Linked DNA regions of Schizosaccharomyces pombe. Each later gene encodes a partner of the first gene's protein in a complex. Each region holds a gene or a part of one and is shown in the gene's direction. Other genes may lie near its edges.

Evidence for each region. Proteins that work in one complex are often made in the same cells at the same time.
Region 2: nse5 (region 1) and nse6 share a complex: the UniProt entries of both Schizosaccharomyces pombe proteins name them as parts of the smc5/smc6 complex.

Annotation. Positions count from the first base shown.
Region 1 is NC_003423.3:1,256,146-1,259,697, forward strand, and holds nse5 (Smc5-6 complex non-SMC subunit Nse5), read left to right. Parts: upstream 1-1,757; coding exon 1,758-2,924; 3' UTR 2,925-3,047; downstream 3,048-3,552. Other genes in the region: prf1 (RNA polymerase II-associated Paf1 complex protein), read right to left, coding at 1-881, 929-1,102, 1,153-1,241; AP-3 adaptor complex subunit Apm3, read right to left, coding at 3,126-3,552. UniProt on the Schizosaccharomyces pombe protein: Acts in a DNA repair pathway for removal of UV-induced DNA damage that is distinct from classical nucleotide excision repair and in repair of ionizing radiation damage.
Region 2 is NC_003424.3:5,295,549-5,299,659, reverse strand, and holds nse6 (Smc5-6 complex non-SMC subunit Nse6), read left to right. Parts: upstream 1-1,879; 5' UTR 1,880-1,926; coding exon 1,927-3,495; 3' UTR 3,496-3,611; downstream 3,612-4,111. Other genes in the region: protein tyrosine phosphatase Pyp3, read right to left, coding at 1-429, 535-822; vma4 (V-type ATPase V1 subunit E), read right to left, coding at 3,956-4,111. UniProt on the Schizosaccharomyces pombe protein: Acts in a DNA repair pathway for removal of UV-induced DNA damage that is distinct from classical nucleotide excision repair and in repair of ionizing radiation damage.

The DNA of each region.
Region 1 (3,552 bases):
GTCTCCTTTGACGAAGACGGGTCTTTTCAGCAGCGATGTTCGAAGGAACACGCGATAACTCTTTCTTCCTGTTAATAATATCAGAAACCTCCTTTTCGCTTAAAACGTATTTACTCATATCCCTGAGGTCATTCAGCTTTCGTTGTACAAAATTTTTAGAGGGCATGGAAAGCTTATCTTCCATCATTTGGTGATGCCATCGTTGGAAATCATGGTCGGAAAAAGGCTCATTTGATAAGACGTTGACATCGAACACTCTTTTCGAGCGACCATGAAAACATTCCAGTGAAACTTTAGTTAAAACACCATCAACACGATACGGCTTTCTGCTTTCTAAAATACCCTTGACTTGACATAAGCGATATACACCTTGTCCATCACGCTCACCAATTTTAACCCGAACAAAGCATCCAGTGACGGTGGACTCAAAGATAGGATGATACATGTACTCCGCGACATGTTTACGCCCAAGACGAATTGCATTTAAATCGTACAAATTGGCGGATGCATTATCTTTTGAAACTTGTTCAACTTTTTCCTCAGCATAGCTGGGAGAGTAACCTTCCTCTTCTTCGCTCTTCTCCGACTCATTCTGTTCTTCATAATCGGAAACAGGGCTCCTTTTTCTAGTTCTTTCAGAGACGCTTCTAGCTGAACGTTCCTGGCGGCGCTTTTTCAGCTCAGTAAGCTTATCACGTTTGCCAGCGGCTGCTGAAGTTAAAGGCTTGTCACGAGTAGACCTTCTAGTAGATTGCGCCATATACTGAGCATTTTGCTGATGGAGGCGAATTGCCAATTCACGCCTTTCCATCAACTTTGAAATTTCTTCTTCACGTTCGAAGAGAATACTCTCTCTCTCAATTTCCGTCATTGCCATTATCCTTTATTTGGTTAGACAACTTTATGAAAAATGTAAAAATCAACGTACTTTGCTCTGTCTGCTTCATCTTTAAACTTGCCCTCTAGACGATACGGGTTTTTGAATTTTTCTTCAAATTCGTCTTCCGACTTCTCATTTCCTTCTCCTCCAGACTCTTCCGCATAATCCTGTCCAACATTTTCATTATTGTCTTCGTCTGAACTGCTGCTCAACACATCATCTCTAAAATATGTTTTGTTAGCAAGGTCAATCCGATAAATTTGCTTTCTTACAAATCATCATGAGCCCTTTTACGGTTTGAAGCAACATCTGAGTCATCAATACCAGCTAATGCCAACAATTCATCCTGAAAGTCGGCCATCTTGGTGGAGGACAGGATCAGATTAGCTAGATACCTGACTAATAACGGTTCCAAGGACTCTCCACCAATTTCATAACAGCAGCGAAACTTTTATCTACTAGCTTTCAAAGGTACTATCTGCTAGTACATTAAAAGAATAATGTTTTTATAATTTGAAAAGTGATTTTTTTTTTAATTTTTTTTTTACGAAATAATTTTTGCAGATGTTGTCTTCCTTGGTTACAAACCTTATCGTTGAAAGCTTCCTTTTAAAATACTGCTCATTTGGGGTCCTCCTCTTTCCCTCTTTTTGAATATATTTCTTCTGTCGCGTAAAAACTTCAAACTGAGAATTCTGCATTTTGTTACAATATAAAATTCGTGAATCAAACCATTCAATAATAATCACAAGACTGTAAATAGGGCACATGTTAAATGCTCTTTTACAAAGAAAATCGTTTTAAGAAATAAGATATCTCTTCCATATCTGGCTTCTTTTACATATAAAGTAGCAAAGATTGCTTACGCCATTTCAAAATGAACTCGGCTCTAAAGGCAATAATAGAGCTTTGTATTGAAGAAGACTTGTTGCCAAAATCATTAGATGTTTTAGAATATCTTCTATCGACGACCTCTATACCAATTCCAGCTTGTTATATACGAATGTGCATAACTCTTCTAGTCCACCCAGAATATCCTACCTCTTCTAATATTCAAGAAAGCTGTAATTGGATATTACAGCAGGTGGTTGAGAACAGAAGCAAAATCAACTTTGACGCATGGTCATTTGAAAATGATCTATCGGACAACGATATGCCTAAAGAAAATTATCTGAAGATTTTCTCCAACCAATGCTTATTTACCCAAGATGTTGATTATTGGGATCTAATTGCATACATGTCTTCTCGTCCTCCTGACCTTGAACGTTGGATGTCCTTGATGGACATATGGTTAAGGATATTAGAGATCGATGCTGAGGAAAACGGATCTGCGTTGATGAAAAAATACATGGGAGAAGATTTGTGTGAACTTCAAGATGCCATCAGAATTTGCTTCTCCTGTTTCACTCTTCCCCAGCAAACAATGGAATCACCTTTTGCAACAAGTATGTCCAAAGCACCTGCTAAAACAGAAAGTCGAGGTTCAAATAGTTTTGAAGGAACATCAAGACTAGCAAACCTAGGTGCCAAACTCTTATGCCTTATATGGGCTATGCTTCCGAAGGGAAGATTTTTTGTTGTACATCTGACAGACGCTTTTCATTTTCTTAGCAAACTCGACGAACGTTTTTCAAAACTGAATGCGAAACAACAAGATCTTTTCTTTGGAAACTTAGGCGCCTCCAATCTCCGGTATTGCCTGAGCCAATATATACTTATGAAAGGAATAGGTATTGGAATTAACATACGCCATACACGTTGTGAGTTTACTAAACAGCTAACTCAACTTTTACCCACTTCCCTTCCGAAAAACAAAATCAGACAGAAGCTACATCTACGAGCATGGGTCTCATTTTTGGGTTCGGCCCTTCGTGAAAGTGATCGCAACTTTGATAAAGAGCTATTTTACACAACGTTGAAGCAGTTATACACAATGTATCAACAAACAGAATTAGTTGGTATTGATAGACCAATGGCAATACTCAAAGACATGCTTGTATTATTAGATATTTCAAAAAAATTGTCCTTGGATAAAATCGTTTAACTTAATAATTTAACTACAAATTAACAGAAGTCATTTGGCATTAATTGTGTATCCTAATATATATAGACTATATGTATCGTTTCAATGAATGAGGCTTTGTGTGGAAAATAATTATTATAATCATTAGTGATAACTAAGAAAATGAAATTTATATGAATAATATATAATAAACAAACGGGTAGATAGAAAGTAAATTAATTATTACCGAAAACGAAATGAAACATTTTGTGCAATAATTGTATGCTTGACCCCTTTATAAGATTTTTTATCTGGATGATTAAGCATCTTCAATGACTCTACTTTAAAATTATGAAGGGTTGATCCTTGAAGTTTATATTGTAAATCAAGGTGCTCAAGCTTAGAGTAGCTACTTGACTCTTCGGTTGAATTGGCATCTTTCTTTAAGGGGGCCAGGAATCCTGTCAACACTAAGGCCGGGGATGTCCAAGCTAATTTTTTTACCGACCACTCCAGAATACCTTCTTCCATATGAGTATACTTGGAAGCACGAAAAATATAATTTCCCTCGGTAACCGTAACGCTCTTTAGAGCTTGAGGAATAGTTATTAGGATTTTTAAATTTTCAACGGATTTTTTCCCGGTGTTTCGAATACGTACTTCGAACCTT
Region 2 (4,111 bases), on another chromosome or scaffold:
CGCCATGAAAGTTCCCGTTCTGCCACAACCCGCTGAACAATGGACTATAATGGGTGCTGTTTCAAAGTCCGGAGAATATGAGAGACTTTTTATATAGCGAGTCAGTGATAGTAGTGAGAAGGTATGTGGTGCACCAAAGTCAGGCCAACCGTTATAGTAAAAATGCAAAATTTTTTTCTTGACCCCGTCCTTGTTCAGCTCAAATTCACGAACTTGAACTTCATTTAATGATGTCAAAGTATAAACTTTTACCAAAATAACGCTTAAATCACCGATATTAAGTGTCTCAAACAGTTCCACTGGCCAATAGATATCACATTTCAGACGATGGCGTTCCCTCAATTTGGTAAGCATAACGATGATGCCTGATTTTGGCACAGATTGCCAGACCATCTTCCAAAAAACATCAATACTGTTCGACGTTGGACCCTATATAAATAAAGAAGACTAAGTTAGTAATTATGTTACAAAAAATGATGAAAAGAAAAAAGGCCAAAGCCGTTTACAATCCCGCAATTTCTTTTTATTCCTAACCTGAGTAGCGATAAATGTTTTCCCAGAAGGGATTTTTACTATGGAAGCATTAATGTAATCACATGCTTCTTTCCACATTGGATCTAAACGAACACGAGTATTTTCATAAGGGACTATGTTGGAGTATCGGTTTCTAGCCAGCGCTTTCTTACTTAGCTTTGGCAACCTAGTATTTAACAGCTCTATCTCTTCCTCATTGAGTCCCTCAATAATCATGTACGCTTTTTCTTTTATTGTGATCAAGGGTGTTAGAACACCATTTTCTGTAGATACTTCTTTAAAAGACATATTGATTTTTTGCGTTTATTCGCTTTTAAACTTCTCACCGAAGTATTTTTTTGTGTCTATCAAAAAGAAAGAATAATTTCTACTAAACGACTTTAAATGATTCCTAAAACCATGACAGAAGTCAGTAAAAAAGAGAAGTATAATTGTTTAATAAATCATCATTGTACGGCCCCCACATAGCGCTAGTTTCTAGTTGTAGTCGTAATCTAGTTCACGTTCACATTCACTTCGTAGGACTAGGCCCAGAGTATTTGCGAATGTCTATGTGGGGGTAACTCGAACCTTTACGAAGCCGGTAGTATGAAGAACAAGCTATATGTGGGATACTTTTATAGGTTGTAAACAACTGTATTGATGATAGTGAATAAAATGATTTAAACGCACTTATGTTCTCTCCAAGGACTTAATCGATCTGCTATACTTTTACTTTCAAAAACAAAAATATTTAAAGTGTAGAGAAAAGTTTTGACGTTTCTTATATAAGGCCAAGTATTATAATACTTGCTCAGCAATTGTTTCATTAAATGCCTGTTTGAATGTCGCCATTGTTCTTTAGGAGTTGTGTTTGACTCGTTTGACTCCCTTACTTGGCTTCTTTGGTTTTAATGTAATTTGTAAAGATTTCTTTGAATGAAAACGTGCCTAAATTGGTTTTAGGTGTTCTTTCTTCTAAGGTTTCCAATAACTTTAACTCAGAATTAGTAAAAATCATTAATTGTTAACAAAAGCTTATGACAGGTTTTTTCTATTCTTTTTTTTTGAATGTTCGCTTAAGAAAAGTCATATGTAAACATCAACGAAGCCAGCTTGGATATGTTTATGATTTCTCCGGTAATAGCAGTTGAAATGCTATAAACTAACAAATTATTCATTTAATAAGAAAATCAATAATTTACTCGATGTTTAATATTATTTGCTTGGAATGCTCAAATTGGATGAAATGAGACTATAAACAACAAAAAAACAATCGTCGTCAAACTATAATGCTATATAATTAAATTATAAACGTTTACTTTCCACTATTTACTATTTCATAATTTTTGTTATATATCCATCCACCCTTTTACCAAAGCACATCAAAAGTGTCTTTGCTGGTATAGTTCTATGAATGCGTCTAATAACATTTCAAAATTTCCTGATTTAGATAATTCTTCAAAATTAATTGACCACATACTTGATAGTGATGATTCTGAAGAGTTGGACGAGCTTCCTGATATCTCTTCTTTGGTGCCTTCGGCAAGAGCCCAATCGCGAAAACAGTATTTGAAAAATGATTCTTCTAATTCATCTACATACAGATGGAATATTGATCTTCTTTCTAGTACTGCTACAATTGACGATTCGGTTGCAAAAAGAAGAAAATTAGCAGTACAAAATTTATTGCAATATGACAGCACTCAAACCTTTCAAACGGGAGATGAAATTGATGAATTAATAGGAAAAAGTGTTGGATCAAATGTTTTGAATGTTCTACGTTCTAACCCTATTTATGATGACGACCTTAGGTACGAATATTGTAGCAATTCAAAAGCTCGTGTTCCAGACTGGAACACCCTGAAAGCAGAATGCTTGAAAGATAACGATTTGGAGTTTAATGAAGGAATTATACCAACAACTTTTGGTGATTTATTATCGGCAAAATTGGTCCCCTTAGATATTGCATTGTCAATATGCAGCTTGCAATTTTTCCGCTCTTTAGGAGACACAACATGCTCTGAATGGATTGCTAACCTAGAAAAGATTTTTTATAGCTATAAAAGCAGCTCTAATAATCTCAACCAAATTGTACGATTTATTTTTGAGACTACTGCAGATATGATTGGCATTGATTTAGCGAAACGACAGGTACCAATCCAGTTGGAACGTACGTCAGCCTCAGAAAATTTAAAAAGCAATTTGAAAATTAAGGTAATTAATTTCCTAAAATGCTGTGGAACTTTGTATCGGTTCTCCGACGACACTGTTCGCTTTGAAATGATTCAGGATGCATGTCGAATCTTAATTGACAATCAAGTGGGCTCATTTTGTAAATGGCAATTTTCTCAATTCATGGAACTTCCAATATCATTGAATCCAGATTTTTTGATCAGTAATATTCATAAGGTGTCTGAAAGTCCTAGAGTTTGGGTTACAATACTATCTTCTTTGTCTCGTTCCTGCCAAAAATTCAGAAAGAAGATTGCTTTTACATTATTTGTTGGGAAACAAAGTAAAAATGATGATTCAGACTTTTCTTCTTTATGTCAACGACTAGATGAAATTTCCGCTTCCTGTAATAATGACTATACAACTTTATTGTACCAGATTCGTACCTTCGGATATGCGGTGGATGAAAAGCATTTTAAAACTAATGAGCGCTTAGAGTGCTTACTGGAAAAATTACGAAAAATAGATTTAACAATATCTGGTTCAACAGACCATTTGCTACTATCGAGATGTGAAGTTAAAGATTGCATACATAGACTTTTTATGGTGCTTTACTATTTAAATACAAACTCAGCACCAGAATTGGAGAGGATTATTGAAAGTGACTTGCCCAATAATAATAAACAAAAGGACAGGTATTTCAAGGATAAAACTTCTAACTTATCGATGAAAGAAAACAAAAGCTTTTCAGCTAAAAAGGTGAAGAAGGGAAAAAAGAAAAATAAACGGCAAGCGTACAAAAGATAAACAATCAGTGTATTTATTAATATTAATTTCAGTGCTGGCGCAAATTCAACAAATTGTATAATACTTTCTAACTAAGAAATCCATAGTTTAATTTAAAAGAAAGTTACTTATTATAATTCCCTTGGAATTACAAATGGACAGAAAAGAAGAAAGAAGTTACCATCTTTTACGATAGTCAAAACTTAGCATCCATTGAAAGATATTGTATCCACTTGATTAATAGAAAGCAGCTATGGGAATAATTTATGATAAGAATCAGCAGAAATCATACACAATCCACATTTAAGAAAACAATGGAAGCCGAACTTGCGATCATTTAGCCTGAAGCATTAAATACTTGGATGAAGCAAAAATTTGAAACAAGTTATAGATAAATGCTTTAAATGAACTTGAGAAAGATTATAAGATAAAGCAAAAGAAATTAATGTCATGAAAGAAACAAATGACGATATCTCAAAATTTAATTATCGAACTTTCGGTTAGGATTTTCACCGAAGAGAAGACGTCTAATTTCAGGAAGGGCTTCTTCCTTCACAATCTCTAAGCGAGCACGCAAAGTGTTATCAACACGAATTTTACCACCCAAACCTACTAAAACGACACCTCCAAGCACAGA